Macaca fascicularis: one gene and its partner. The protein of the gene in region 1 binds, or shares a complex with, the protein of each later gene. Links are inferred from orthologs where the notes say so. Each region holds a gene or a part of one and is shown on either strand. Other genes may lie near its edges.

What was found.
Region 2: the proteins of GABARAP (region 1) and WDFY3 are in contact, whole or in part, in a crystal structure (PDB 3WIM), measured with the Homo sapiens proteins. The link is inferred for Macaca fascicularis from reciprocal best matches to the Homo sapiens genes GABARAP and WDFY3. Residues at the interface, in NP_009209.1 of Homo sapiens: Glu17, Ile21, Lys24, Tyr25, Arg28, Pro30, Lys46, Lys48, Tyr49, Leu50, Val51, Pro52, Asp54, Leu55, Leu63, Lys66, Arg67, Phe104; in NP_055806.2 of Homo sapiens: Glu3342, Lys3343, Asp3344, Gly3345, Phe3346, Ile3347, Phe3348, Val3349, Asn3350, Tyr3351, Ser3352.

The regions. Positions count from the first base shown.
Region 1 is NC_088390.1:7,276,721-7,292,972, forward strand, and holds GABARAP (gamma-aminobutyric acid receptor-associated protein), read right to left. Parts: upstream 15,086-16,252; 5' UTR 14,967-15,085; coding exon 14,877-14,966; intron 14,305-14,876; coding exon 14,226-14,304; intron 14,086-14,225; coding exon 13,967-14,085; intron 13,549-13,966; coding exon 13,483-13,548; 3' UTR 13,048-13,482; downstream 1-13,047. Other genes in the region: DVL2 (segment polarity protein dishevelled homolog DVL-2), read right to left, coding at 1-78, 198-326, 521-588, 1,501-1,577, 1,666-1,805, 1,965-2,034, 2,178-2,268, 2,399-2,534 and 4 more; PHF23 (PHD finger protein 23), read right to left, coding at 8,272-8,486, 8,578-9,415, 10,031-10,123, 10,276-10,307, 11,875-11,908. UniProt on the Homo sapiens protein: Ubiquitin-like modifier that plays a role in intracellular transport of GABA(A) receptors and its interaction with the cytoskeleton.
Region 2 is NC_088379.1:49,042,167-49,058,213, reverse strand, and holds part of WDFY3 (WD repeat and FYVE domain-containing protein 3), read right to left. Parts: intron 15,754-16,047; coding exon 15,654-15,753; intron 13,814-15,653; coding exon 13,653-13,813; intron 12,319-13,652; coding exon 12,089-12,318; intron 11,029-12,088; coding exon 10,919-11,028; intron 9,257-10,918; coding exon 9,074-9,256; intron 8,219-9,073; coding exon 8,061-8,218; intron 6,995-8,060; coding exon 6,917-6,994; intron 5,478-6,916; coding exon 5,250-5,477; intron 1-5,249. UniProt on the Homo sapiens protein: Required for selective macroautophagy (aggrephagy). Acts as an adapter protein by linking specific proteins destined for degradation to the core autophagic machinery members, such as the ATG5-ATG12-ATG16L E3-like ligase, SQSTM1 and LC3.

The DNA of each region.
Region 1 (16,252 bases):
GTCCAGACTCTGGAGCTGCCATGGCCTTGGTCACCGATGCCATGTCCGTATGGATGGAGAGACCCCGGCCCTCACAGCCTGGCAAAGGAGACCACAGGGAATGAGAGTCAGGGATCACTCCCACAAAGGCAATGGGTCAGACCACTGCAGGACAGCCTTCTGCTGGGAGGGTGGGATGCGGTGGGCTGGTGGCTCACCATCAGGCAAAGAGGATCCAGATGTAATGGTGCTCATGGAGGAGGAGCCCGGATAGGCTGGGAAGGTGCCAGTCAGAGCCGCAGAGTGGGACACCCAGGCAGCAGGGTCAATTGGCTGGATGGGCTCATCTGGGACAGAGATGGCACCAAAATGACCCATTCTCAGTCCCCAAAAGCCAGCCCAGTCCCTCCCTGACTCAGCCTCCTGTTCCACCTCTGCCTGGACCCTCCTCCCACCCACTCCCCATGACCAGAGGTCCAGCCCCAGCCTCCTGGCCAGCCCCCACCCCCAACTTCAGGCCCCCTCCCTGAGTGTCACTCACTTCTCGGGAGAGTGAAATAGGCCTGAGGAGAGGGATCCCAGCACTTGGCCACAGTCAGCACAATGGGGCTACGGGGAAGAGAAGTCCAGTCAAGGGCGCAGGGGAAGAGGAGGCCTCAGGAGAGTGGGGGCCTGAAGCAAGGATGGATTAAGAGACACAAAGAGAAGGAGAAGCAAGCACATCGCGGCTGGGCTGGAGAAGGTGAGGGTGGAAGGCACCACAATGCGGATGACTCATCAACATGGAAAACTCTTAAAAACATACTGCCAAATGAGACAAGAGAGTACACGCTGTACAATTCCATTCACAGAAAGACCAAAAACAGGTAAAATGAAACCGTGCTGTTCAAGGATACATGCAAGAATGGTAACTATCGAGTGAGGCAAAGCTCTCCTCTGTTATGGTGATAGCCAAAGAAGTCAGGAGAGTGACCACCCCTGGGGGAGGGAGGCATTTGGGAGCAGGAAGGGACATCTGGGGAGGAAGTTCTAGAATATCAGCAATCTCCTATTTGATGGTCTAAGTGGCAGTGACATGGATATTCACTCTAGTATTGATACGTCACACATTTGTTTCACGTACTTTCAATGTTATGTCTCAGCACTTTTTTTTTTTTTTTGAGATGGGAGTCTCGCTCTGTCGCTCAGGTTGGAGTGCAGCGGTGTGATCTCGGTTCACTGCAACCTCCGCCCCCTGGGGTTCAAGTGATTCTCCTGTCTCAGCCTCCTCACTAGCTGGGACTACAGGCGTGCGCCACCACACCCACTTAATTTTTGTATTTTTAGTAGAGACAGGGTTTCACCATGTTGGTCAGGCTGGTCTCGAACTCCTGACCTCTGGTGATCCACCCATCTCGGACTCCCAAAGTTCTGGGATTACAGGCATGAGCCACCACGCCTTACTACTTATTAAAATTGCAAAACAAAACATAAAAGAGAAAAAAAGAGAACTGAGGACCTGCAACCTGCTTGGCAACTTACCCAGGCTTGTGCACAATGTCCCTCAGCACCCGCACGGCGTCATCATTGCTCATGTTCTCAAAGTTCATGTCATTCACCTGGAAGCAGGGGAAGTGGGTCAGAGGCATGGTGGGAGAGGCTGAGGGCTCCCGTGCAGGGCAGCTCGGTGGCCACACCCCAGCACACCTGCAAAAGCATGTCCCCTGGCTCAATGCGTCCGTCGGCCGCCACAGCCCCACCCTTCATGATGGAGCCAATGTAGATGCCTCCGTCTCCCCGCTCATTGCTTTGGCCCACAATGGAGATACCCAGGAAGTTGTACTTCTCTGTGGAGAGAGGCCATGTGAGGAGAGGAGGCCCCCGCGGCAGGACCCCCAGAACCCTAGAGAGAGAGGCCATGTGAGGAGAGGAGCCCCAGCCGCAGGACCCTTGGAACCCTAGAGACCAGGCCCTCCCCACGCCCTAGCCACAGGCTCTCCCCATACCCATGTTTAGCGTGACTGTGATGATATTGAGAGACATGGTGGAATCTGTGACGCTGCTGAAGGACGATGTCTGTGGTGGGAAAAGAAGGAGCTAGAGTGCCCTTCAATGACCCAGGGTCAACCCTGGGGTGCTGCCAGTGTCCAGGCACCACCCAAACCAAAGCCTATGCCCCACCTTCTCCCAGCACCAGCCTTCCCGTGGGAACCCCTCACCCTCTCCAGGCGGGGTGGCCGCTGCTTCCTCCGCCGTCGGTGGCGCTTAAGGAGGCGGGAGGCACTGCTCTGCTCCGTGGAGCTGCTGAACCTGCCAGGAGGTTGGAAGGAGAGCAAACGTAGGCCAAAGTGGTCATGGGGCCAAGAGAAAGAACCAGAGGATTGACTGGAGGAGAAGAAAGGGGGCTGGGTGCGCTGGGGAGAGCTGTGCGGAGCCACACCTGCTCATGGTGTCCTCCTCGTCAGAGTCCCCCAGGCTGGTACTCTCCAGCTCACTGGTCATGAGGGTAGAGGAGCTCTCATATCCCGCCAGGTGGCGCTCCAGCCTTGAGGGGCCACCAGTCCTGTGGCCCCCAGCTGCATATGGACAGGAAGCTCAGGAACCAAACTTCCCCCTGCTCACCCCACCAAGGCTGGGGTCTGGCCCAGCCCTTCCCAGCCCCCAGGCCTGCCCCTCACCGCCATGCTCACTGCTGTCTCTCCTGCGAGGCCGCTCCCGCCTCAGTGACACTACTGACTCGGTTTCTGTCTCAGGCTCCAGATTCTCATGGCTGCTGGACACATTAGGGCTGGACAGGCAGAGATGGTTTCCAATCCATATCAGGAGAACAGGGTTCCGGATCCCAGGCGTACCCTACCAAAAGGCCTGGGTTCCCTCCTCACCTCCCTCCCTCGAAGTCAAGAATCAGAAGGACTCACTGAAAGGATGGAGGCCTTGAGTCCCCAATGCCGCTGGTCCTCTCGGGTGGCAAAGGGGGTAAAGGTGGGGCTGGAGGCGCCAGTTCTGCCCGAGGCTCGTGGGCTGGAGGAGCCATCTCGGGTTGGGGATTATCTGAGGACACCAGCTAGAAGGGTGCAAACAATAAACAGTGGCGCTCAGCTGGGAGTCGGGGTGTGACAGGTTGCAGTAAGTGAAAGAACGAAAAAGGGTCTCAGAGAGCTGGAGAAGAGCAAAATAACCTAGCAAGTATTAGAGACTCCAGAAGGAGAAGGCTGAGGGCCTCTCACTGGCTCTCCAAACAGATAAGAGGTAAAGAGCCAGGGCTGCTAATACCTGGCCTGGGAGAGGGCTACAGAAACGGACTGAGGCCTGGGGAAGCTTGGAAATGCAGAGGGGACCCAGCCCTCGGCGTCTGCACCTCTTACCCAGGATACCACCCTTCCGTTGAAGCAGGGGAGGCGGGCGTTGTCATCTGAAATTTCTTCCTTCACCACTCTGCCAAGAGACAAGGTGGAGGTCAGTGAGCTGGACCAACCACCCCCACCCCCACCCCCATCAAAGTTCCTCCCAATCTTCACCGGGCTCCAGGATGCTGACTTTCTCCCGCCCTGTTCAGGTCTTCTCTTACATTGAAAAAACTCACTCTGACACCTAAGAAATCTCCAAACTCAATCCCCTTTCCTTATTTCTCCTCTCCCTAACGCACCCTCAGGGGCGTAGTGCTGCTCCAAAGACTTGACTGAGTCTGATTCAAACCTCTCAGTACAATTTCAAAGGCAATCCCCTATGCTGATGCAGCTGCCTAAGATACCTATCTAATGAGACTGGCTGGTAGCCTCCTCTCAAGCCCATCCCTGTTCCTTACAAACCTTCCAAAAAGGCCGGGCACGGTGGCTCATGCCTGTAATGCTAAAACTTTGGGAGGCTGAGGTGGGCGGATCACCTGAGGTCAGGAGTTCAAGACCAGCCTGGCCAACATGGTGAAACCTCGTCTCTACTAAAATATAAAAATTAGCCAGGCATGATGGTGGGTGCCTATAATCCCAGCTACTCAGGAGACTGAGACGGGAGAGTTGCTTGAACCCAGGAGACAGTGGTTGCAGTGAGCCAAGACTGTGCCACTGCACTCCAGCCTGGGCGGCTGAGCAAGAATCTGTCTCAAAAAAAAAAAAAAAAAAAAAAAAAACCTTCCAAAAAAAGGCTTCGGTCCTCAACCAAGTCTCTACTTTTATACTTGCCTTTAGTTTTCACTAATTCATTTCCAGAAGACTGTCCTTTCTTGAGTAAAAACACCCATTAGAGGCCAGGCATAGTGGCTCACACCTGTAATCCCAGCACTTTGAGAGGCCAAAGTGGGTGGATTACCTGAGGCCAGGAGCTGGCCAACATGATGAAACCCTGTCTCTCCTAAAAATACAAAAATGAGCCGGGCACGGTGGTGCACACTATAATCCCAACTACTCCGGAAGCCGAAGTAGGAGAATCGCTTGAACTCAGGAGGCGGAGGTTGCAGTGAGCCGAGATTGCGCCACTGCACTCCAGCCTGGGCGACAGAGTGAGATTCCACCTCAAACAAACAAAAAACAACAAAAAACAAAACCACCCACCATTAGATCAAACAAACAATGGAAGCTCCTCATTAGACTGAAAGCTCCCAAGGAGAGAGCAAGCTGGCGCTCCCATTCCCCTGTGCCTCATCTGGCACAAAATTCGGCACGAAGCAATCTGCTCAGCCTGACAGATCCCAAAGCCCAGCCTTGGGGTCATCTCTCCAATGGGTTCCCTGTGGTGGACTGGACTTGCCCCTTCTTCTTGACCACGACATCAAACCATGAACACTTACTCTGATCAACACCATGTCCTGGCCACACACCACACACTGACACTTAGGCATTAACAAATACTGTCAACTAAATGAATAAACATATAAAGCATCAGACTCTCTGCCCTGGTTGTTTCTCTCTCTCTTTCCACACACACCCTTGCCGCCAAATTAGGACACCTTGTCTAATTAACCCATTAGCCTAATATGGTCATAAGAGCCAGGATATATATCAACTTAATCCATTTGCTGTCAATGTGACAACACAGCCCAGTCACTACCAATCTGTCTCAGCATCATGTAGGATTCTTCCCAACATAACACAATCTCAGCATAGCTCAGTCCACTCTTAAGACAAATTACTGTGTATCACCATAACCTTTATAGAGTAGTCAGCCTCAATACTAATGACAATTACCATTCACCAAGAATTCACCATGTACCACACACCTGAACTAACCATTTCATTCTGTGATTTTCTCCATGTCACAGACGAGATCAAGACACAAAATTTAAATTAATTGTCCAAGATTGCACTGCTGACAACTAGAAGAACCTTGACTTAAAGCCAAGATAACTCCCAAGATAGTATCACCCTTCCCATGTCAAACAATCTTTCTAGCTAGAGTCCAGTTTGTTCAGTTCTTCTAAAACCCATGCTATCTCAACTTAATCCAGCCTGCCTTCAAAAAAGCAGAGGTTGGGCTGGGCGCAGTGGCTCACGCCTGTAATCCCATCACTTTGGGAGGCCGAGGCGGTCCGATCATGAGGTCAGTAGATCGAGACCATCCTGGCTAACACGGTGAAACTCCGTCTCTACTAAAAAATACAAAAAATTAGCCAGGTGTGGTGGTGGGTGCCTGTAGTCCCAGCTAGTGGGGAGGCTGAGGCAGGAGAATGGCGTGAACCCGGGAGGCGGAGCTTGCAGTGAACCGAGAATCAGCCACTGCACTCCAGCCTGGGCGACAGAGCGAGACTCTTGTCTTTAAAAAAAAAAAAAAAAAAAAAAAGCAGAGGTTGAGGACCCAGAGAGGGCTCAGCCCCAAAGACCATAAACACAAAAGGGCTTTCTCTGCATTATTTACATGCCAATCTAGTCCAAGATAGCCCTGAATGTCCAAATTACCCTAGGATAGCCCAATCTATTCTAGCACAGCCTACAATGTCCCCACACGCAGCTGTCTGCACCAATATAGACTAGAATACCCCAATACAGCTACCTGTACTAGCATGGGCACCAACAGCCTTGTCTGCCCCCATACTGAGTGCTCCAATAAAACCATGTCTTGCCCCAAGATAAACCAGGATTAACCAATACAGCCCAGTAGAGTCCATAATGGCCCAAGTTTGTTTTGTTTTGTTTTTTGGTGTTTTTTTTTTTTTGGAGATGGAGTCTTGCACTGTCGTCCAGGCTGGAGTGCAGTGGCGCGATCTCGGCTCACTGCAACCTCCGCCTCCCAGGTTCAAGCGATTCTCCCTGCTTCAGCCTCCCAAGTAGCTGGGACTACAGGCGCCCGCCACCACGCCCGGCTAATTTTTTTGTATTTTTAGTTAGTACAGATGGGGCTTCACCGTGTTAGCCAGGATAGTCTCGATCTCCTGACTTCGTGATCCGCCCGCCTCGGCCTCCCAAAGTGCTGAGATTACAGGCGTTACAGGACTCCTGAGAACGTACTAAACGACCAGACGATAGATGAATTTACTCAGTACAGTCTAAAACACTCCAAAATAAACCAGTATGCCTCCACCTATTCCAGTAGAGCCTAATCGTCTCTAATCTGGTTTAGGATATCCTAGTCTGCCCGTGTGCCTCAATCTATCCAAGCATAACCTTGTCCATCCTGGGAGAGTCAACCTACCTCAGCATGGTACAATCTGCTCCACCACAGGCCAGAAAATCCTAGTGTGGCCCGAAGTAGATGTGTGCCCCTCCACGTCGCCCAATCCACTCTAGCAAAGCCCCCGTCGGTCCTATCTAGGCCTTGCGCTCACCCGAAATCCTGATCCATAGACTTGAAAAAGTACTTGGCGCCCGCGGGCCGCTGCAGGACGCTCTTGAAATCGCCGAGGGTGATGCGCTCGGCGGGGACAGGGATCTTCACCAGGTATGGAGTCTCTTCCTCATCCAGGTGGTAAATCACCTTCGTCTCCCCAACCCCACCGCCCCCAGCGCTGCTGCCCGCCATGGTCTCGCCCGCGCGCTCCCGGGCTCCACCGCCCACCCAAGGGGCTAATGGCCCCTGCCGCGCCTGCGCACACCCGCAAACCGACGAGCGAGCGCGGACAGGACGGACCCAGTACTGGAGAGAAGCAAAGGGAAAAAAGCAGGGGTCGGCAAGGGTGGCGGCGGGGGGCGGGCCGCGAGGTGCGACTCAAAGCCGCGGTCTCAGCGGCCGCCGCGCGCCACCGCCACCGACAACGCGAGCGTCCTCCAGGTCCCCGCCCACCTCTCCTCATGTCACGTGACCTAAGCCCGCCCACCCCGCGCTCTTCAGCCGCCCCCGTCACGTGACCCCTCCCAGTCACGTGACCGCGTGACTCCTCCTAGTGCCCCCGCCACGTGATCGCTGCCTTCGGCAACGGTCTCCCAGCCCCCAAAGGTGTACCCCAGCCGAGGTCCTCGGAGCACCCAGGATAAGCTGGCCTGTGCCCTCAGGAAGCGGACAGTCGGCTCCCACCCGGCTTTACCCCACACCGGCGGGAGCGCGAAGCAACTCTGACCCTCAGGAGTGTGCGTGCAGGGAGTGAAGGTGGGGATTGTGGGGGTTCCTAGACTCGAGTGGGGAGGGCCAAATACAATGAAAGCTCTGAGGTGGCTTACTCAAGTATCTTGGGGTGGGAGAGGCCCAGTGCTGTGCCATCTTCAGACTGGACTGTGAGAGGTGGCTTTCAGCACCACGTCCAGCTAGTCTTCAGCCACCAAAGCCTCCCTCCCAAGCAGGACAGTGAGGGCTATAAACACAAAAGAGCCCACTCTGCTTTATTTACAACACGCAGGCTGTCTGTACAAACAGCGGCCAATATTATTAAAAACAAAAGAGGTGAGTGAGAATCGTCACCTTTCTGCTTTCCTTCCTTGCTTGGCCAGGCTCTAGTACTCCACCTTTGAGCTGCCATGCCCAGTAGGGGAAGTCCAAAATTAAAAATACAACCGGTGTAGAAGAAAATAAATGGGGAGTGAAATAGAAGAAAAGATGAGGGAGGGGAGTGCTAATATTTACACTAGAGTTTTATAGACAACTGTCCCATTCCATCCCAATTCCAATCCTGACCCAGAAAGTGATGGTGGCAGGTCCAAGAGACAGAGATTATGTGTCTAGAGACACAGACAGCCTCCCACCCGCAACCGTAATGGGTTCAATTTCAAGTTCAGAGTGGGGAGGACGGATAGGGTAGGCAAGTGAGACACTCATTTTCAAACAAGTCTCCCTTGGGAATTCCTGCCTTGAAGTGCGGACAGTATCCAAGCTCCAGGGGGTAGGCTGAGGACCCTGAGGCTCAGTTCCCAAATCATGTTATCATTTGGAAGTTCCAGGCTAAAGTTGGTGCCGTCAGGGCTCTCCAGATTTGGGAGGCCCCCCTAACCGCCGGGCCTCTGGCCTCAGTTCCTTGCATTTCTGGCAATAAAAGAAGTCAGGGACGTTGGTCTTCTTAATCTTAGCACAGGAGAGGTGGATCCACGTCCCACACAGGCTGCACTCAATCATGGGCCGCCCTGCAAAGGGCTTTCGACAGTAACACGTGATCAGATCCCATGAGTCATCACCTGGGGAAAAAAGGTTTGTTTGGTATTCTGCCTGAGCAGTTGTTGGATCCACAACACCCTCAAACCCCTCGCCCCAGCCCAAACCTCTCACCTGATTCTACCATGATGTCCTCATCCATGACCCGCATCTCGCCTTCACTGGAGCTGGCATCTCCATCTTGGCTTGTTTCAGTGCTGCCCACCTCCTTGCTTTCACTGTCAGTAGGAGGGACTCCTTCAGGGTGCACTGTGGCAGGGGGCCTAGGAGCCTCGGGGGGTGTTGGGAGCACAGGGGCTGGGGCTTCACCCCCTACCACTGTTGCCATCTCTTCCTCTTCTTCCTCTTCCTCTTCCTCCTCCTCCTCTTCAGAGTCTGTATCACTGGGGGGTGCCTGGGGAGGCCCAGGAGGTGGGAGTCTATCCCCCCGTTCTGCCTTTTTTAACTTCCGCTTCTTGCTCTTCTTGATTCGAGATCTCTTTTCCCCATCCCCAGGAGTTGGCCGAGGCCTCCGAAGCACCCCAAAGCCAGCCCCAGCTCCTGGCCCCAACTTTCGGTTCTTTCGGTCCTTCTTTCGAGGAGGATGGGAGAGGTCCCCCTGGGAAAGGGGCACGGGGGTAAGAGCAGCAGGGGGCCGGGAGGTATGTGTCAGGGATGTGGGGGACAAAGGAGATGCCACCTTGGGCCCATCGAGATCAAAGAGAGAGTCCTTGAGCTTCATCTTCTCAAGCAAGGTAGCACTGTCGGGGGCCTGCAGACGAGAGAAAGTGGACCTTGGGGGTCCTGGCTGGGTGGGACCTGCTTGGGCTGCCCTTCTCTTGGATGACTTTGCTTTCTTAACAAAAGTCTGGATGGTTCGAAGATCTGAGGGGGCCGAGTCCCAGCCATCACTGTCGGCCGCACTCTCTCCTCGCAATGGAGAGCTGGAGCCAGAGGCGGGCCAGTCACTTTCCTTAAAAGGGGAAAGAGACCAGGGTCAGCAGAACCCCAGTGTCATCTCAGCCCCTCCACAAACCCAGCTTGAAAAGGAGTGACTAGATTTACCCCAAAATGTCCTCTACCTCAACCACTAAATCCCACTGTACTCCCAAAACTTCTCCCCACCCCAATTCCCATCAGCATGTCCTCGTGACCACTCCGTGTTACCTCCACCTTCGAGTCTTGATACCTCACCGCTGCCCCGCCCAGGGCCTGTGGAACACGGTGTCCCCCAGACCAGAGCCTTATGTCCTTAGCTCTTTTTCTGTGTAGCCTAATTTGTTACCATTTTCATCTCCCTAAAATTTATCCATAAACACCTTCTATTCACAGCACCTCAAGACTGCCAAAATCTCGACCAGCAACTCCAGAACCCCCTTGCTTTTCACTGCTGTTCAAGCTAGCTAGCCCTGCCATCCACTCCCTGCATACCAGCTTTCCTACCACAGTCCTAAGAATCTCCAACTTCCCTCTAGTCTTACATATTTCTAGGGGCTTCCTCCTATAAAGCAGTACAGTTCTATGTGAACAACAGCCACTCTCTAGTCCCACGACACGAGCCTCAAGTCAGTAATTCTCTTGCCCCTACCTCTTTGCTAGGAGGGATGTAACCAGCATATGCCAAAACAAAACTGCAGAATTTGTTGAAATCCTCAATTGTTCTCCGCCGTTTCTCTGGTGGCTGAAAGGAAGGAGACATGGATCACATGGAAAGCCACACAGTTTAAGAAGGGCATTCTCAGAGACACAGTCCCTAAGTGAGGCGTCTAGAAAAGGGGGGCGGGGGCGTTGTCAGGCAGGGCTACTAGGCTGCAAAGATCAAGGAAATCTCACCTGAGTCTCTGGCTTCAGGGTCGGAGGTGGATCTGGAAAAGCAATAAAAGCTGAGTCAAGACACTACGAAACAGTCTGTGTAAAATTCCTCCTCTAAACCCTGTTGTTCCTAAGTGAACCCCCGGCTCTCCCAGGTCCCTCTGCCAGGCCAGCAGGCCCCCAGCTGTGTTGGATCCGCCCCTGCTCCCCCTTCCGCCCCGCGAGGGGCGGAGCCTGGGCGCGGCGCCCTCTGAGGCCTCGCTATAGCGCTCCCCTTCCCCCAACCGGAGGCCCGGCGCCCCGCCCCCCCCAACTCACGGTCTCTCTCGACTCCAGTCTACTCGGATCCCTCAGCGCCCCACCCCACCTTACCGCTCCCGGGTCCGCGTCCGGGCCGCCGCCCGCCGCCCCCGTCCTTCACATGCGTCCAGAGCCCCGAGTTCCTACCCGACCGCGCTCCACCGCCTCAGGCCCTCCGAGACCGCACACGCCGCCCGCCGGCCCCCAGGGTCCAGGATGACCACGCCGAACCGCTCCCCGCCCTCCGGCCCCTTCTACTCGAGCACGCGGCCCGGCGCGCCCCTCACCCCCACCCCAAACACACACAGGCACACGCATCCAACGCTACTTCACGGCCGGGACAGACCCGGGAGCTCTAACCCGGACGCGGCCCCACCTGCCCCCCCCATACCGCGCTCCCCACAATTTCGCCGTCCCTCCGCCCCCATCCGGGGCTTTGGCCCCTCCTCGTTTCGAGCTCCCCGGGCTCCCCGCCGGGCCCCCCGGCCCTGTTCCGAGCCCTCTCCGGCCGCCGCCGCCCCCCCTCCGCCCCCGTACTCACCACCCAGTCACTAGGCTATGGACCCCTCAACTCCAGCCCCTTCCCCCCAACCAGCCACTCTCTCTCCACAGCAGCCACCTTTGCTGCCACCGATGCCCCCCTCACCCTCAGCAACTCCCAGGCTCTAACCCTCGCGGACCAACCCTAACCCCCCCGCAAGTCGCCGGTCTTAACCCCCCCACCCCGCCCCACCACCCCCTACAACTACCCAGCTCGCCTCGCTTCCTGGCTCGCTCTCTCCACAACTACCCCCCGGTACAGGTCCGTCTGCCGTAGACAATACCCAGACCCCCTCTTCTCCCCACAACTACCTGCCCACCCCTCCGACAATCACCGGGCATTCTCCGGCGGCAACTATTCGGAGCTCCCGTACCACCGCCACAAACTACCCCACCTCGGCGAACTACCGGGCCCCTCACTCAGCCTCTTCTACGTCCTCCCTCCTGAGCAACTCCCGGCCACTGGATTTCCCCAACCTTCCAGTTCCAGGGCCCCAATCTGCCGGTGGCCCTTTCGGGCCCTAACCCCCGAGGCTCCGGATTTCAAGCTCCTATCCCCCGCACCCCCCCACCGTCTGATCTCCAACTACCCCAGCCCAGTCTCCCACTCCTCTTTCTCCAAGGTCTCTCAACTCGTCGCTCTCCCACCTCCAGGGCCAGCCTCCCGACCCCCTCCCCGAACTCCCCCGCTGGGCTTCGGGGCTCGACCTCCAAGTTTGCCAATTGATTCCTCGTCCGCCCCCCCGCCGGCTCAGCGCTCCGCGCCGGTCGAAAGCTCACCTTCGGGACTGGGTTCCGCCATGGCTTCCAGCATCGCCCCCTCCCCTCCTCCCGGTCCGGCGCCCCCCTCCCCGGAGCCGGGGATCCCGGTGCCGCCTCTAGTGCTCGATGCTCCCACTGCTTCGCTCCACAGAAGTGTCCGCCTCAGCCCGGTTGAGACTCGAGTCCGCTAGCCGCTGCCGCCACCTCCCTCTACCACTGCCTCCCGCACTCCCGGACCGGGCCCCCTCCCCCCGCGCCGCCGGCCGCCTGCTCCCTCCTCCTCCTCCTCCTCCTCTCTCCTCCCTCCCTCCTCTTCTCTCCCTCCTCCCTCCGCCGGCGCCGAGGCGCAGTGCACCAAGGGTTTTGTAGTCCGTCCGGGGACAGCGGAAAAGGGACCGCATGAGCCTCCGGAACTTTGATTCCCAGAAAGCCACAGGCTGGCGCAGGCGCCCCAAGCCGCTCCCCTCCCCCGGGGAGTGGCGGGGAGACCGGGAGCCAGAGGAGAGAGCGGAAGTGCGCGCGCAGGCCCCTGGGAGATGTAGGCTGGGCGGGACCAAGAAAGAAGAGGAAGAAGGGATTAGAACTCTCGGCCACCATACTGTCTCGTTCTGCAGCTTCTTTCTCCCCCGAGGGACCGCCCCACTTCCGGCCTGCCGGAGAAATGATTGCTGGGAGATGAAGTATTCCTGGCGATAATGGCTCCCCCTCCCAGTCTTCTCCCTCCCTGATTCCACTCTGCTGAATCCCACACACCGGCAAAAGTCTAGCCAAGTGACATGCAACTGAGAACAGCCGTTTTACTAGCTTACACACATGAAAATATCTTCCTTAATTAGAATGTTCTAGCAAATGTGGATGTTCACCTAAAGCAGGTACTTTGGAACTTTCTCCACAGGAACCCACAGTAAAAAAAAAACAAAAGTTTTACGTGAGCATTTTTAACATTCAGTTTCACATACATGTCATAAAACTAAAGTTTCATTAAATGATCCTCAGTATTCCATTCCATCACAAAAAAGCACCCTCTTTTTGCAGACAGGGAAAAGCCCAACATGGACAGAATAAACCAAAATATACTTCTATTCCTCCAGCTTGTACCCAATACTCCTTTCCCCACCACTGAAACCCACTGACACCTTGGAAAGACTAAAAATCAGCGGGACGAGGGGAGCAACACAAGGCAAAATTCAGTTCAGCTTGGTGGTTTCCTCTTTATTGATGTGCCTCCTACCTTTCCCCCCACAATTTCAGTCCCTTCCAACTACCCCCAAAAAAGAAGGTAGTGAAAGGAAGGGATTGCTGGGGTTCTGAGCCCCTTGGGCAGTCAGAAAGGGAACAGAAACCAAAACAATCACTGGATGTGAAGAGACTGACAATCAAGAAGTCTAAAGCAGGATGGGAAAGGCGGGCAGAGAAAGGGGAAGAAAGGAGAAAGGAGAGGTACAAGATGCCAACTCCACCATTACCCCTCCGAAAAGAGGCTGGAGAGAAAACTTCAAACATTAAGAAGTGCCCGTCCTGAATAAGGGAGGTGGTGTTTGAGCTTGAAGGAGGAGGAGGTCAAGAAAAGGGGGCCACCTCTCTCTTTGTAGAATGAGACCCCCCTCCAGCTCAGGGACAGCAGCTTCACAGACCGTAGACACTCTCGTCACTGTAGGCAATGTAGAGAAAGAAGTCTTCTTCATGGTGTTCCTGGGATGAAGGCAGAAAACTGTTCAGCAACTGGGCTCCAGTTCCTTAAACCAACCACGACCCAGACACTTTCTTCTAGAACCAGAAACCAGTGCCCGACTCCTTCACTGACTCCAAGGCCTAGCACACGAGCAATATAATCTCTGCAGTCCTGGGCAAAAAAGGCCTCAAACTGTTTTCTGCTGCTTTGGAATGGGGAGGAAGACTGGGAAGAGTCCCGAACAGTTTCTCTAGTTCACTGTTCTCTTTCCTTCTCTCTACTCCTACTGTTCTGTCCCAACCCCCAAACCACGGCTATTATGAAATGTTAAGGCAAGCGAGGAAGCTAGTCCAAAATACTGATGTAACAACACTTTCTTCCCCTCACGCTCTTCCAAGATTCCTCTCCAAAGCCTCCACCACTTCCCGGTCACCATACCTGGTAGAGCTGACCCATTGTGGCACTGGTGGGTGGAATGACATTGTTGACAAAGAAAAACAAGGCATCCTCAGCTCGGAGATGAATTCGCTTCCGGATCAAGAAGTAGAACTGACCAACTGCAAAAGATACAAGGTGCAAGAAAGTCACAGAGGTCAAAAATGCCCTCAAAAGAACAGCTGCTAGGTGGAGCCTTCTCCCACAGAGACTGCACTCCCACCCACGGGAAGCAAGCCTGAGCCTTGGGTCAGGTTCCCACCTGTGAGATCAGAAGGCACCAGGTATTTCTTTTTGTCCAGGTCTCCTATCCGAGCTTTGGGAGCCTTTTCTACTATCACCTGATAAAGAGACGAAAATTAGCAGACAGAAGGAATGCAGCGCCAAAGCTGCACCTGTCAGGAACTCAAGTAACAATATTCCTAGTACCTAAATCTACCCCAGACTCATCTCTTTGTCTTTGTACACGCGGTGCAGCACTGAGTCCCAGAGATCCTGACCTCACTGACTGGAGCTTATTTAAATATCCAGGATCCATCCACCGAATAGGGCGTCACCATAAACAACTATCTTAATCAGACGGAGATGACTTGTCTGGGTCCACTAGTGATTCAATCTCGCAACCTTAGCTAGTTGGGGGTATGGCCATTTGAGGCTCAGGCTGTCAAACTCTCTAAGGCCTCCACTCACACAAATGCTAAGGTTTCTCTCTCCTGTCCACATCCCTCTCAACCCCACGTCCACCACTACCCCACTCCTTTCATCCTCGGTCCCAAGGACAGCAGTTTCAGGCTCGCTCCCAACCCCAACACAGCCAGCAGCCTGATCCCTGCGCTGCCCGTCCCAGATCCAAGGCCAGGCTGTGGCGTCAGCGTAAGCGTCCCGCGCCCTCGGCCCTGGCTTCTGTCCTCACCGGCACCCGGTCCGGGTATTTCTTTCGGATTTTCTCGCCCTCAGAGCGGCGCTTCTCGAACGGATGCTCTTCTTTGTACACGAACTTCATCCTCCCGGGAACCGGGCTGGACCGGGCTGGGCTGAGGGAACCCGGGGGGGCCGGGACGGGGGGCGGCGGCGACGGCGGCGACGCGCGGGCGGATTCAGCGGAGCGATCCACGAATTTGCGCCACTTCCCTATTCACCAACCCCGCCCCCGACTATCGGGGACGGCCCCCCCACTAAGATACGCCACTACCTCAGCGGTGCTAACGCTGCTAGCGTAGCACCACCCACTGACCGGCCCCCTCACGCCATTAGCGTAATCGCTTTGGAATCAATTTGTGGGCTACGCAGGCGACGTAGCAAAGACGGTTGGCTTTTGGTCATGGAAAATAACTCTAAATCTGTTCCCCAACCTTCCCCTCAACGAAGCTGGGGCTGAAGAGGAGTAAGATATGGTAATCATCATACGAGACTTGCTTCTCCAAGTTCCTTTCGGAAACAACGTAGAGGAACAGCAGAGACAATTACAAGGTTAGCTATTCACGAACCGTATTGCTACGCTGAAGGCGGCCGTTGACACCAAAACAAAGTAGTACCCAAGTGGCGGAGATGATCTCCAGAAGTAAGAGGTCAAAAAGAAAACAGATGTTTGGAGAGATGTACAGAACGCTTAAGTGCCAAGAATGAGTAGACCAATAGGGACTGGAGAGGAGGTTGGAGGGGTAGGGACTACGCCAGCGCGGAGGAACACCGCACGGTTTGAGTGAAATCATGTGATCTCAAAGAGGGCGGAGCGTCACGTGGCGGGTGTGCGAAGTAGGGCCGGCTTGGGAGGGCGCCGGGGAGGCGGGGCCGGCTGGGCGACGGCGGCGAGTGGGGACCTACGCCTCCCCGGACTGCGGAGGTCGGGGCGCCAGCCGCCTGGGGCCAGCGCCCGCTTAACGTGTCCACGTCAGTACCCCGGACGAAGCCCGACGTTTCTCCAGCTCTACGCCCTTTGGCCGTCCAGGTTTCTCCTTACTTGCTTTCTAGCCTGCTGCTCCGAAGGTATCTTTCCACTCCCCACCAGCGCGCACATCCTCGGCCCTTCCCGCCAAAGCATCTGGTGGCCACATTCATTATTGTATCCCCATACTCAACACCACCTTTCCCCCTGCCCCTTGAGTCCAACAGCAGTCTCTTCCCTCTCTGCTCGGGGGACAGGGTGCATGTAAACAAAGTTCCCTCCCTTCACTTCCCAAAACCCCAGAGAAGGACCTAGGGCCGTTTTGGTTTCAAAGTTATAATGCATGGTTTAAAAGAGAAGAAAGGAAAAAAAGACACAAAGCTGGTTACAGGTCTGAGGGAGTC
Region 2 (16,047 bases), on another chromosome or scaffold:
TCAAGGTATATAAAATTTCCTTCAGGAAAAAAAGAATTGTAAACAAATATTGAACTCATAATATGCACATGAAAGTGAAGAAAACTGATTCTTCAACTCGCTCTGAAATTCATAAAACAAAACAAACGAACAAACAAAAACAAGATAGGACCAGGAGTGGTGGCTCACACCTATAATCCTAGCACTTTGGGAGGCCGAGGTGGGTGGATTGCTGGAGCTCAGGAGTTCAAGATCAGCCTGGGCAACATGGCGAACCCCCCATCTCTACCAAAAAATCCAAAAATAGCCTGGCGTAGTGGTACATGCCTGTAAACCCAGCTGCTTGGGAGACTGAGGCGAGAGGATTACTTGAGCCCAGGTGGTCGAGGCTACAGACAGCCAAGATCGCCACTGCACTCCAGCCTGGGCAACAGAGCGATACCTTGTCTTAAAACAAATGAATAAAAATATAAGACAGACTGTTGGATAGATATGCAACAAATAAATACAACAAAACAGACCAATTACCAATGTCACACCTGTGACATTCACTATATATACTCCCAGCCAGGATGTAGGCAGGGTCTACTAAGTATACTCTTATATTTTTCCTGGCACCATATGGTACATCGCCAATTAAATACATATTTGCTCACTGATTGATTAACCAGTTCTTATTTTACTAAAAGGCCCAGCACTCAATAGTAAATATGTTATCCAATAATTTTAGCATTATTTTGGTTTCCTTTTATTTAAAAAAGCATTAAATTATTACTATAATTGTTTACATAGAAACCTATATTTTTCAAAGTCAGAATTTCTAGAAAATAATTTTATAGTCCTTTTACTTCAAATGTTTCTATAATGCTGGCAATGAAATTTTCTAAATGAGCTGCTTAGTTTCTGTAAGTCTCGTGACATTTACACATTATATAAAAATACGTATTGAGGCAGCCACAAGAAACTCTCCTAGTTAGAAAAGGAACCTAAAAGTTGACTAGCTTCCTGCCCCTGAGTAACCCTAACTTAATAGGCAAAGTCTTCACCCTAATGAACTTTGCAAAGAATAGTAAATGTGTTTGAGATTATTATTCTTTAAAAATAAGGGAATTATATAATTAAAGCCTAGTTAATATTTAAATACAATTTTTTTAAAATGGCAAAATATGCATTATTTTCCTCCCTTAGGATTCAGAGGAACAACCAGATTTTGAATTTTCAGCACATCCCAGGCTTACATCTTACACTATCTATAATATTTGTTTAAAATACAGAATTATAGTATAATTCAGCTCTTTTAATTATGAAAATTACTCCCCAAGGAAGGTTACTATGTCAAAAGTATAAATCATTTTTATGTGAGAATACAGAATTTTCCACATGTACTTAATTTTTCTCAAGATATTAATAATTATTACAATTTTTATTACAATAATTTTAGTTGATAAACTTTCAATGCTGTAAAGTCTGAGTATGTTCCATATTCTATACACAAACATCCAATTTAAAATCAATAAATAAAATTCAAAACTTATACTAGGTAAGCTATTTTTTATACAGTATGTAACATTATCAAAGTTTAAGAAATAAAACTTTAATGAGTAAAAAAAAAAAATCACCTGATTTATTTCTAACAAATCAAAGACCTTAAAACAGAAATTAATTTTTTAATCACCACTGTATTCTTTAGCGTAAGTGACAGGACAAAACATGGAAATGTTACTGAGAAATAACAATTATTTTAATCAATAACGCAAAAGATCAAATCATATGCCCTTGCACCAGGAGAGGCTTCAAAAGCAACTTTAGGTTGGCACAAACCTATTATATCACAAAAAGTACTGACTATATTAAACATGCATGCAAGGAGGGCAACAAATTCATGGAAGTTTAAAGGAAAGAACTGGTTGATCTCTAACTCTGGGAGGCAATATTTTTTAATATAGATCAGGGCAGAGGTGGATTTACTATGAAGTTAAGGTAGTTTAAACTTTAGTGGCCTTCACTTGCATGAGTCCCTTTCAAATCCCTGGAAACAAAGCCCTACTAATTTTATATTCATAATTTTTACTCTTTTTCTTATAGAGCCCTCTCCTAAACTGTATAAACTACAGGGCCCATAAAATTGCATTCGAGGCCATTTTAGTGGAAAAGTTTTAGATTTAGGAAAATTCTATAGAATGCTAAAGAGAAAGCACAGGAAAAAAGTCTATAACTTAGGGAAGACAAGAGTGCTGGCAGTTCATTCACTCAATATTCATTAAGTATTAGGTACTTTGTTAGCACTAGAGAGATAAAACCTAACATGGAATACATTCACTATCAATGGATAATGTCATAAAATGGGCAAACATTAGAATCTTTTCTTTTTCAAAGTGATTCTACTACTAAGGGACTGTTGAACTATACTCCTACCTTACTACTTCGCAGCTGCAGCCTAGAAGGGGTTCCTTAACTACTCTAGGTTTCATTTTCTCATCTGTAAAACTGGGATAACAGTATTAACTGTACTTCAGAGGGCTGTTATGAGACTGAAACAAAATGAATTCAAACTGCTCCATAGAGCATCTAGCTCAGGAGTGTCCAATCTTTTCGCTTCCTAGGCCATACTGGAAGAAAACTTGTCTTGGGTCACACATAAAATACACTAAGACTAACAATAGCTGATGACGTTAAAAAAAAAAATTCTCTCTCTCTCTTTTTTTTAGATGGAGTTTTGCTCTTGTTGCCCAGGCTGGAGAGCAATGGTGCGATCTCGGCTCACCACAACCTCTGCCTCCTGGGTTCAAGCGATTCTGTCTCAGCCTCCCGAGTAGCTGGAATTACAGGCATGCGCCACTACACCTGGCTAATTTTCTATCTTTAGTAAAGATGAGGTTTCTCCATGTTGGTCAGCATGGTCTTGAACTCCCAACCTCAGGTGATCTGCCTGCCTCGGCTTCCCAAAATGCTGGGATTACAGGTGTGGGCCACCGTGCCTGGCAAAAGTCTCATTATGTTTTAAGAAAGTGTATGAATTTGTGTTGGGTCACATTCAAAGCCATCCTGGGCTATATGTGACCCTTGGGCCTCGGATTGGAGAAGCTTGATCTAGCTCATTGTGCTCTGTAAATATTAGCTCTTCTTTTTTGATTTGATGGTAGAATTCAGTGGGATAATAGATATTATAACTTTTTGAAAATTTGTTTTTAACACTGCCAGATGCATATTCCAAAAGATACAAGTGGACATTTAATGGCATTTCAAATTTACAAAATATGTGAACTACTAAAACTAAAATAAAAATTATTTCAGAAAATTACACCATAGCAGATTAATCTTGACCTTGATTTGTGCATGAACTATGCAGCATGAATTCTATATTCTGTAACTGTCTCTCCTTCCTGACTGCTTTTTCCTTTTAGGTGAAAGTATCTCCAACATTTCTCAACTGTCTTGTATTTTCCAATATGTAACCCACTTGTTAAATAAATAAGTTCCATCTGGTACATACTTATTTATGACAGTGTCTGTTTCGATTTCACAGGCTGGTGAATTCCTTTGCCTAGGTAAAATGCTGATGATACTACGGTTGTAGGTGTGAACTCTTAATAGGGTACTTTGTTTTTATCTGATATAGAAGTTAAAATACACTTTTGTAAACAAATGACATTATTACAAGGAAGGAAAGGAGCACAGATAAAAATATTATGGTTATTGTAAAAATAATTCAAAAGTATATGCCTCAGTTAAATCTAAACAGTGAGTTGGTCATATATTTGGGAAAGCATATTTATATTTTAGTATTCTTGAATGGATTCAATTTAAGCATTGACTCAATAAGAAATACTTTATCAAACTGCTAATGTCTTAAATTCTTAATAGATTGTTAAGGAAAAAAGATTAACAATTAAAAGATCATATTGTTGCTTTGCTCTTATAAAAGTAAGTGCTAGTAATAGGCTGCAAAAATATGGGTAGATTACCTTTTTTACAGTGCTCCAGAATTAGAAATTATAGTGCTTTAAGGCACAGCTGCATCAAGTATGGCATTCTTGACAGAATTGAATAGCTTTGAGAAAAGCAGACTTTAGGGAGCTATCTTCTAAACTTTTAATAACTATCAGCAGGAGCTAAGACCTACATATATTACTATTTTAGAAATTTTACTGTTAATTGACAAATTATAATTGTTTATGGTATACAAAGTGATGTTATATGTATATGGTTTGAATGATTAAATCAAGCTAATTAACATATTCAGCACCTCAAATACTTAACAATTTTTGCGCCAAGAACATTTGAAATGTACTCTCTTAGCAATTTTGAAATGTACAATACATTATTATCAATTATAGTCACTAGGAATGTAATAGATCTCAAAAAAATGTATTCCTCCCGTTTATCTGAAACTGTAACCTTTGACCAACATCTCCCTATTCCCCTCATTTCTCAGCCTCTGTAAACCTTCATTCTATTCTTTGCTTCTGAGTTTGATTGTTTTAGATGCCCCATATAAGTGAGATGGATCATGTAGTATTTGTCCTTCTGCACCTTGCTTATTTCATGTAACATAATGTTCTCCAGGTTCATATACACTGTTACAAATGACAGGCTTTCCTTATTTTTTTAAGGCTGAATACTATTCCATTATGTAAACATAGCATATTTTATTTATGTTACTCTGCTGATGGACACTTAGGTTGATGCTAAGATCTACATTAGCATCAGGACTGAGGTTAAACCAATCAGTACAAGATAAATGGAGCTAGGGTGGTCGTCAGAGAAAACCAAGAGGCATTGGAACAATTCAAGGTGCCTCACCTTATATGATCAGAGCTACTTAGAAGATTCATGTGTTCTAATATATAGTGCTTATTCTGGACCAGACACTATTTTAAACACTTAACTAATTTTAATGAACTTAATCCTCCCAATAGTCCTATGAGGTGGAACCATTATTTGCTCAAATTCAGGCATAACAAAACGAAAACCCGGAGAGGTTTAATGACCCGTAACCCAGCCATAATAGCAAAGTGGTGGAGTCAGGTCTTAAATTTGGGCAGTCTGGGTCTGGAGTCTCTGATATAAACCTCTTTATCATGATGTCTCCTTCTTGCACTGTTGCATCTTTTCACTCCACCTCCACTCTGAAGTTATCAATTCAATGGAGTTTGTTGAATTTTTTAAATGAGCTATTTGAGGTAACTGACTTAATAGAGAAAAAATGCTTACAAAGGAAAATAAAAACTTGAAAGAGCCAGTGTGATCATTGAATTCTGCATACTCACCGCCACATTTGTCTCTTGTTCAGTTTCTGGCACGTAAGGGTAATGGTTATAAAACATATCGTTTCGCACCATCTTTTTCCTCATCCTGCAGGGCCCTTCTGTCATCTCCAGCATCCACTTGTCCAGGTGGGAGCCGATGGGAGGGCCCCACAGCCCCCGCTCCCGCAACAGCTCGCACTCGATCTGGCACCACTCTTCCGTCACGTACTTCAGGGCATTCTGCTGACGCTGACAGGAAAGAGTCCAGGTCGGTTTTCAAGCAAAAGCAGGAGTAACAGTAACAAGTCTACAAGTCACTGAAAATCAAGTTATTACTTGGAAACAAACACAATCCACACCATTTCAGTTAATCCTATAAAAGTAAAATTACATTCGTTTATGGTTAAAGTAAGCGGGTTTGTTGTAGAAGGTGGACTTCTTAAAGCATCAAGTAAATGACAGACATGTATAGGGTAGAGCGTGCAATACAGTGGAACAGAGAGTTCAAAGAAGTCTGTTTATCTGGCACAGGAAAGACGGTAATATTACGATGAAAATATATTGAAATGGTTAGCCCTATGTGCGCTAATAAATACATATGGTAATTTAAAGATACACCAAACTGGAAAATAGCTACCACAACATGTACGGGGGATAGTCTAGGAAATCAGATGAAGAAAAAGTGCCAACAGGCTTGATTACTGGTGAACTAGGTAAACATTTCCAAAGATTTTAGATGAAGAATATAAACATGCAGCACTAAGAGGAAACTTGACATTCATACAAAAATCAAAGAGAAACCATTTTCTCCTGGCCACTGGGATAGATTCAAACCATTTTACTTAAAAGGAAATTATGTCACAGTACAAGTTCTTCTTGTCTATCAAATGACAAATATGTAACATTTCAACAGTACACAATGATAAATAACTTGCCCAACGATTCATGGAATGTAAGTATACACAATTTAAATCTAAAAATAAAGATTTCTAAAACATAACTGTCAGTAAAGATTACTGAGTAAATAATTAAAAATTTACCTATCACAGTAGTACTTATATGTTCTTTGGTTGGGGAAACTAAGGATCTAGTGTGATATCCATAAAATATTAGCAGTTAACCATTCAGAAACCTTTAATAGATCCAGAATAGCTAATCTGAGAATAAAACATTTAAGATAAGCTTTTGAGTAATTATGAATTTACCAAGAGAATTTCAATAAATTTATTTTTCACTGACATAATCACCAAGCACTTGTAGGGTAGTAAAAAATAATTTCATTTAATCTTGTAATTTTTTACAATTTTAAGAGACTTCTCAGAGACTTGGATGCATGTTTTCACAATCTCCTTGTTAAAAGCCTGAAAAAGAAGGCTCATCCTTACATTTTTATTTTTATTAGGAACAAAGACATGTAATGTGTCAGTAGTGAATGTCAACAGAATTCAGCTGGGCTCATTTTCAGTTAGTTGCTTTTTGAAATGCAGTTTGTTGACAGAAGATTAAAATTTTCCATCCTAAAATCAGTAGCCAAAGTATCTGATGGCAGGAATAATTAAAACCATCATCTGATGATGAATACAGTCCAGCAAGTACCTTAAAATGGGCAGAGAGATACCAGCACAAACAGAGACCTTTTACATACAAAAAATGTAAAACAAACCATTATGATGATTATAAATCCTTACCTCCTGATATTCTTTATATTGTGTATCTACTAAGTCGCGAACAACAGCAATGTGAGTAAACATCCACTGCGAAATCTCCTAACAATGGATGGAAAAAGAGTCTTAATATTTCATGGATTTCTGGAAAAAAATAGTTAATTACCCTTGAAATTAATGCTAAATAATTGGTTAAAATTCTGCCAAAAGCACCAACACAGAAAACTAAAACAAAAATTCGGAATGAATTCCATGCTTGTGTGATGGACACAGATCTGCATGCTCTCCTACCCCCCAACCCCCTTCAAGGAAGGGCTTGCTGCCCACGTTTCTGGGCTACTGTCGACACCCTCAGGGATGGCCTTAGCTGCAGAAGGAAGATGGGGCGCCCCACATTCAACGATCTAGGGGTGAGAAGAATCACATATTTCAGCTTAATGGAGGTCAATTCTAAGAGGGTATTCTGTCCTCAAAGCTCCACTTAGTTTGGCTGAGGCTGTCACTAGACCAGCACTGCAGCCTGACTTTTCCCTATATCCAATCCTGCTTTCTTCTCCCTTCCACAGGTATTGATTCCAAGGGCACCCCCTAATATACATTATGCGCACTAAACTCCATCTCAGAGTTTGCTTCCTAGAAAACCTAACCTGATGCATGAGATGGCTGACACATACTCAGACCCTTTCATAGCTGCCACTTAGATTCTGGAATGGTGAAGGAAGTAGGAGGAAGAAGTTAATGCTGGAGGCAGATGAGCTTTTAAAAAACCATCAATCATAGGTATATACAACAAGTCTAAAAATTTAAAAAGACTTGTTCGGCTATTGCCTTAAAATTTATATAATTATTAGTAATAACATTACTGAAAGTTGGGAAAATTGAGAGAAAATTATCCATAGTCTGATCATATATTAATCTCTATATCTCATCTTCTATCCAGTTATAAGATGTGTATAAGTAAATAGCACTAATAAATACTTTTATCATAAGAAAATGAGAGAAATTCCCATAGTCTGGATTACTTCTATCTTTATTCTAAAGCAAAAATACAGGAAAGTTTCATTTCCAATCAACTGCTTGTACATGTTAAGTATATTATATAAAATACTACAACTAAACCTTGAAATATAAATTTCTAATAATATCATCAATGAAACTAAAAAAGTACCTGGGTGGAAAGACTGTGTTTATTAAGACCACTTTCTTTTCGATTCCTTCTTGATCCTGTTAACTTGGAAAGACCAAAGCCACTGCTGACACGGGATAATTTGGACTGTGTGGTGGGCACTAAAGCTTCTCCTCGACTTATGCATTTCTTTTCATGGGCTATGAAAAATTAAATTAGATTATTTTATAATTTCTCCATTTATGAATCTTCCTTTTAAAACTTTCATATGTAGTTATAAACTACAACGCTGTAGTTAACAAAAGCAGCACATATTACAGATGCAGACATTACATTTAGATATCACAAATTTATTTATTGGTAATCTTGTTTAAGGATGATTGCTTACAAATTATTGTATTACCTGAACTTACAGTTGGTTGAAACTTCACAGCTCTGTAATAACATGTACATTTAACTATGAGTTTCTATATTAATAATTCATAATCACCTAATTAAAATCTTTGGTGTTGGGTATACTTCGCAACTTAGAAATGTTTTGGATTTTTAAAAGGTTATATAGCTTATACACTGTAGATTATACAATGGCACCAGAGAATCTACAGTAAAAAGCTATAATTTAATACATCAATATTACTGCAACAAAATGTATGAATATTCCCATACCAAGTAGGACAAAGAAAAATAAGTTAGGTTCTGCTATAAAGTCAGTTTTGGCACCAAATTAATGAAAAAACAGAGCTTTTTGAATTTCAAAATTATAGTTAAGGGATTGTTGACCTGTAGCCAAGACAGTGACCATACTAGAGCTGCTAGCAATGTATAACATTCTGAATGCAAAAATGCCTAATGTATAACATACCTCAGATACAAAAAAAAACTCAAAGAAAAGTAAGATCTCAGTATAATCATTCTAGAATGGTTGTTATATTGATTTTCATTTCTACTGACTTTATAGTATCCTTTTGGGAATGCTGTAATCACATATTTAAAGTATACCCATATATGACAGCCAAATGTAAATCTCCCGGTCATAATATCTCTATAGGCCTTACCCAAATGATTCTGCCAGCACTTCAGGGCAGCTTCTTCAATGAGTGGCCTTGCTGTAGCTATGTCCACGTGGCCCCTTTCATTCACAGGCAGAGTTACTTTGAACAGCTCCTCTAAGACTTGTTTCTTACTATGTATCAGTTCAGTCCAAACTCTGTTGACAGCTTTTATGAGAAGCTGACGCCCTAGTAAACAAACAAACAAACAAGCAAGCAAATGACCAAAACAAGGCATAAAGTTAGTTTTTATTTTTCTTCATGTTTACATGTAGGAATTTTGACTACAATATTTAATTGTTTAAAAAAAAAAAAAAAGCTCATGTTGTATCTAGCCCAGTGAAAAGGTTATTTAGACAACTCAAACTGTGGCTGCCTATTTAGAAAACATTAAAAATATCTTTGTATTCATACAAAAGAACTACATTTTTATTTATAAAATTGGAAATTATATACATGTAATTATCTAACTTTTTCTAGATTAAAAACTTATCCCCCATTTAAAAGTAATTTTTAGATCTGAATGTTTAAGGTGAGTTCAAAACTAAGTTAGTATTCTTGAATATTTTGCACAAGAAAAGAAATATTTTGAGAAGACTTTTACTATGAAATTCATTCTTACTTTGGATTCCTTGTTTGTATGCCTGACACCTCCTCCAGACCAGTCAGCCCTCAGCAATCACCTGAGGGCCTGTGATAACAAGCTCTGCTAGTCCCTCACCCCAGGGTTTCTAATTCAGTAGGTCAGAGTAGGGCAACAGAATCTGCTTTTCTACTAAGTTCCCAAATGATATTGATGTTGCTATTGTGAGGACCTTGCTATGAGAACCAATGCCAGTTCCTCAGGGGGTGAAAATAATAACCACATCTTTGGTGTTTAGGATTCAAAACATTTTGGTGAAAGAACAGAGAATAAATTCATGTTTAAATGAAGGAATGAAATTAAAACGAGTGCTGGGCTTCCTGACAATGAAACCATATGTAAAACTATTGCACAGTATTTCTGAGGAGAAAAACACTACCAGAGTGATTTCTCTTTATCACTAAACATGTGGAAGTAAGAAATCAATCCATACAAGGACTTCAATATGCAATGCTTACAGGATCAGTGGGAAAACCAGATTGAAAAAAAAGAGAGGGGCTGGGCACAGTGGGCTCACATTTGTAATCCCAGCACTTTGGGAGGTCGAGGCTGGTGGATCACTTGAGGTCAGGAGGTTGAGACCAGTCTGGCCAACACGGTGAAACTCTGTCTCTACTAAAAATACAAAAACAATTAGCCAGGCATGGTGATACCCGCCTGCAGTCCCAGTAACTCAGGAGGCTGAGACATGAGAATCACTTGAACACGAAAGGTAAAGGTTGTAGTGAGCTGAAATTGTGCCACTGCACTCCAGCCTGGGCGACTGAGCAAGATTCTGTTTTTTTTTTTTTTAAAAAAAAAAAAAAAAAAAGAGAGAGAGAGAGTATAAAGAAGAATAAAAAATAGCACTATTGATAACCTGTCTCAAGCAATATTTGCCTACTCTGATGTGATATGCCTAGCATTACCACTGGGCAGTTCTCTTTATAGTTAATTCCAAGGTAGTATTTGAACTTAAGCAAATGTAAATATTAATACCACCACCAAATCTCACAGTGTTACTAAGAAATGATGAGCTTAGCAACATTACTGGTTTGTGCTTTACTCTTACTGGCATGAGGGGACGCTTTGTCTATGTATAGGTTGCTCTACTGGGAGAGTTGCTATCAATGCTGGCAGTTTCTGCAGCCAGTTTGTTGGTTATGTCTTAAAAACTGGAGATAAAACAACTTCAACAATTTAAAAACATCCCAAGTTGAGGCAATTACCTTCACTAATATCTTGGCTGTAACTACCATCTGGTTCAATGTCAGAGGGGATCATAATGTGCCATGTGGTCATGCGGGCTTCTGCTTCCAGTCCAAATCCATCCACGTTGCTGAAAAATTCCAGTCAGTTTAAACTTTATGAAGGAAATGATTAGCTGCAGACTACAGTAACTAAGAATTACTCTATTTCCATTACCAGCAGACACTGAATGTCTACTCAGCAGATGCACAGAACAGAGCTCTAGTTTGCCAGGAAGATGCCATTTTTAAGAGGTGATCAAATAAATCCACTTGACTAAATGTAATTAGACTAATCTATAGCATCAAGATTATTACCTTAATATTTAATATGCCTTTTGATTATTGTGAACATTTTAACCTAACAATTACAAAATGTTCATTCAACTAACATTTTTCTAATATGCCTGTGTCCTCTCTCCAGTCTTATATCTCACTACTCTGCTTCTGTAGTGAAATAGTTGCAGTTCTCCTAAGGTGCCACTCTTTCTTCCCTCTGGGCATTCATACAGACTGTTCTTTCTTCCAGTAGCAGTTGTCTCCATTCTCTTGTCCTCCCCAACCAGGTCTCAAGCTGCAGCTCAGCAGGTATTTCTTTCAGGTTAGGGGCCCCTCTTATGTGCCTCCAAAGCACTGGGTTGTTCCTAGCAGATCACTCAATACAGCTGACTGGTCTTGCTTAGCTGTTTCCCCTCAAGAAGGCTGCCACAGGGTCTATCTTACTCACATTTTGTACCACCCCCTAATTCAAGGCTTGGCCCCGGGAGACTCTAATGAAATATCTGTCAAAGCAATCAACTGGAAAATACTAATTTTACTCATTTAACACATAACACTGCATTGAGCTTTACTTTTTACTTCTCTTAGACTTCAATGGTATGTATTTTGTTTGCTTTAAAAGCAAACTGCCTTACATAAGTGACATATGGTGATAATGGGAAATTTTACAGGTGTAGAAAACTAAGTTAAAGGAAAAAAGATACCCATAATTTCACTGCAAAAATGCAACACTTGCCCTTTACCTTTTTGCATAAAGGTTTAAATAAAACAGAATAAGGGTAAAAGAAAGGCTACTATCAAAAAAATGAAGAATTTTGTTGGAATAACATCAAAGCCAAATTTAACATGGCAAACTGAACCTAAAGGATTTACCTTCCAACATGTAGATTGATCAAGCAGTGGGCCAGACAGCTAATAAATTCTTGGTCATGGTTCCCAGGTCCTAGGATCAAGTTTCTGTTTACAGTGAGGACCCTGAGTGAATCAAGCAGAGCTACTTGCTGAGGAACAGTTTTGTGTGCCCGTGAGAACTGGTACAAGATGGTCCTATTGAGGCAGTGATACACTGCATCCAGTGACAATCCCTGTGATCTTCTCTTTGACTAAAGACACGGAAGATATGTTTTTAGTACAATAGACAAAAGTAAAACACCTGTTAATCATTCACACCTGAACTTTTATTAGGTCTATTATATACCAGATGCCATGCTAAGTATGAAGGTGCTAAGTTAAAAGATACAAAGCTCTTGCTACTATGGATTTCAGAACCCATGAGTCACATGAATACCACTTAATGAATGATATGATGGCTACATTAAAAAAAACAGCTCCCAAGGAGGGGAGCCACTAACGCTGCTGTGGGCAGAGCAGTCTCCCTGAGAACACGAGGATGTGACATCTAGGGGAGTCTCCTCACAAATATATTTTGTTAGGATAAATGATCACTATTCAAAAGTACTGAAAAAATTAAGATGTTACTAAAATCATTTTTTTTGACATTCTAATTTCATCCCCTCGTTTGAGAATTTTTATCTTTGGCTTAAATACAAATATATCCCTTTAAAAAGACTTAGGTGACATGAGAGAGCCTATGCATCTGTGTACCATATGCTAATGGTATTTCCTACTTTATTTCCTACTTTCTACATTAAGTATTATATAAGATTAATCAATTGTGCCAAACCAGGCCAAACCCTTAATTAAAAGTACTGTGAACATGCACAAAAAATAACAACTTCAAGAGAATATAAACTACAAGGAACTTTGTAAAGATTCAACTGGTAAGAGAATATTCTTTTAATATCAACTCTTCATGCTGTGTAAACCTTTACACATGGATGTAGTATACAGTACAAACCTACCAAACCATATTAAGGTATTTAAATCTATCGGGGTAGCAAAGAATAACACCTAGGCAACTTTACAAGGGACACACTGGCACCAGGCAATTGGTAATGGGGAGGGGTTCAAAGTCTGTATGTCTATTCAGTTTTTTTTTTTTGAGACAGAGTCTCGCTCTGTCATCCAGGCTGGAGTGCAGTACTGTGATCTTGGCTCACTGCAACCTCCGCCTCCCAGGTTCAAGTGATTCTCCTGCCTCTGCTTCCCAAATAGCTGGAATTACAGGCACACACCAACATGCCTGGCAAATTTTTGTATTTTCGGTAGAGACAGGGTCTCACCATGTTGGCCAGGCTGGTCTCCGACTTCTGACCTCAAGTGATCCGCCCGCCTTCGCCTTCTAAAGTGCTGATACTACAGGTGTGAGCCACTGTGCCTGGCCTGTCTCCATTCACTTTTAATAAGCTTAGCTTTTTATTAAATGTTAACATTCATTATCTTATTAGTTACACTTCATTTCAACAATTTTGATACCATAGGCAAAGTTTTCAATAGGAAAACATGTACTCTACAACTGATAGTGACAATGGATTACCTGTGCAATTAGTTGAATTATAAAATCTATAAGAAGTTTAGATTCTTTGTTGAACATGCCTTGCCAAAGCTTGTCCACCACACGCTGTGTGAAATAAAACACATTGTTCACCAATACCTGGTAGCTTCCTCCACTGGTAATAGGCAGAGATGCGTCTTCCCCTAAATTCCAGTAGGAAAAAAATGTCTAAGAAAATTGATATCTAGCAACACAAGATCAGATCCTCAAAAAAATAAGGCTAAGGAAAAATAAGTGTATCTACAACATGTAGAAATATGACTACTAGCTTTTATGTACTACTTCAAGAAAATGACGTTCAATGGTCAGAAATCAGGATGAATAATTTCAGCAGGATAAAGTGTTATGGATTGAAACTACCTGTGGAGTCTCCTATTGCCTAAACAAGAGTCTGTGATAAACAAGCAGTTCTGCAACATAAACTGTCAGTCACAGGTGTTCTCCATTTGAGAGAAAAAGGGCCAGTTTATTAGCTCTTAATTGATTTTGTGTAAGTAATAAAGGGTAAAACTGTAAAACAAAACTGTTTTAGAGTATAGCTCTAATAGCAGTGAAGTAACACAGACAGAAAAGAGCTTCAGGAAAATTGTGAAAAATAAAGTATAATCAATGTTGAGGGGTTTGTTTAGCCCCTCCATCATTACCATTGGCTCTCTTTCTAAAGCTATCTGAGTGTTTTCAGTGTGTTTGCATATACATATTGCTTTCAGACTAATCCTCCTAGCTCCTCCTCCTAACCAGAATGCTTCCTCTAAGCCAGGGGTCCCCAACTCCCAGGACATGGACCGGACCACACAGCAGAAGGTGTGAGGCGGGTGTGCAAGCATTACCACTGGAGCTCCTTCTGTCAGATCAGCCGTGCCATTAGATTCTCATAGGAGGGCAAGCCCTATTATGAACCGTGCATGCAAGGGATCCAGGGTTGCACAATCCTTCCGATAATCAAATGATAAATGTAATACTTGAATCATCACAAAATCATAATCCCACCCCCCGCCCCGGTCTGTGGAAAAACTGTCTCCAACGAAACTGGTCCCCAGTGCCAAAAAGTTTGGGGACCACTGCTTTAAGCCTTTCCTCCACAGAAATTCTGGAGGTTCGATTTTTATTATTCTCACCTAATGCTAATAATAATTTTTATTATTCTCACCTAATGCCACAGAATTTGATTTTTATTATTCTCACCTAATGCTAAATTGCCCCATTAATCAAAATTATTTGTGTTGTGTCTTTGTGTAGTATGACTGCTCTAAACTGATAAGAATAAGTACAAAACTGTGACTTGACTTTGAGAGTGCATAGTTGCATGTTAAGACAATACTAAAGATTTCCTGGCAAATTTACTTCGGGAAATAATTGTAATTTAATAGCACAGAGGTTATATGATTAGTATTATTGCTAGGAACTCAAAAGTAGCATATATAGTATACTAACCCATTATGTTTCCTTCTCTTATAATTCTACTTTGTTTTATACACAAATGTTGGCTTCATTGTACATGTATTAAGTTTCATATTTTTATTGTAACTAGATATAGACATACAGAAAAAACACATTTCAATGTGTTTTGACTCTATGTCCTGGAAGCCATACTAAAAAGATAACATACATATACCTATGACCCAACAATTCCACTCATAGGTATATACTCAATAGATATGTGTAAGTATTATACACATATGTGGTCCATATGAACATGAATGTTTATAGCAGCTGTTAAAATTATCTCAAGGTGAAAACTTTCATATGTCTGTCAAGAGTAAAATGACAAATTGATATAATCACATGATGAAATACAATATATTAATGAAAACAATGGACTCCTGCTACATGCAACAAGATAAATCTCACAAATATAATGTTGAGTATGAGAAGCCAGACAAAAAAGGAAAGAGAAAAGGTGATGTTAAAAAGTAGTTTTACTTGGGGCTTAGAGAGGAAAGTGATTATAGGTATTTTTATAAAATAAAAACACAGAATTACCTAATAACACATCAGCTGCAAGCAAATGGTCCATCACACTATCCAAAATGTAAGTTTGAAATTCTTTTTGCTGAGTTCTTGTAGACCTTTCAGGGGAAGCCTAATCAAGAAAATTTAGGATTAGAAACAGAACCAACAACAAAAAAAATATGAGCTCAATCATATTTACATTACCTAATGTATTAAAAAGATTAAAAAATCCTACTGATAAAATTTTTAAAATGCCATGAGAGATGGTATACATGCTTATGGACTTTCACATATTTTCTAACTACAGAATTAAAAAAAATTTAAAGTAAAGGTGAAACATCATCTTCTTTTGAATCAATTTCTTAAAACATAGTATTCTAAACATTATATTTATTATATGGTTACAGTTTATATTATATAACAT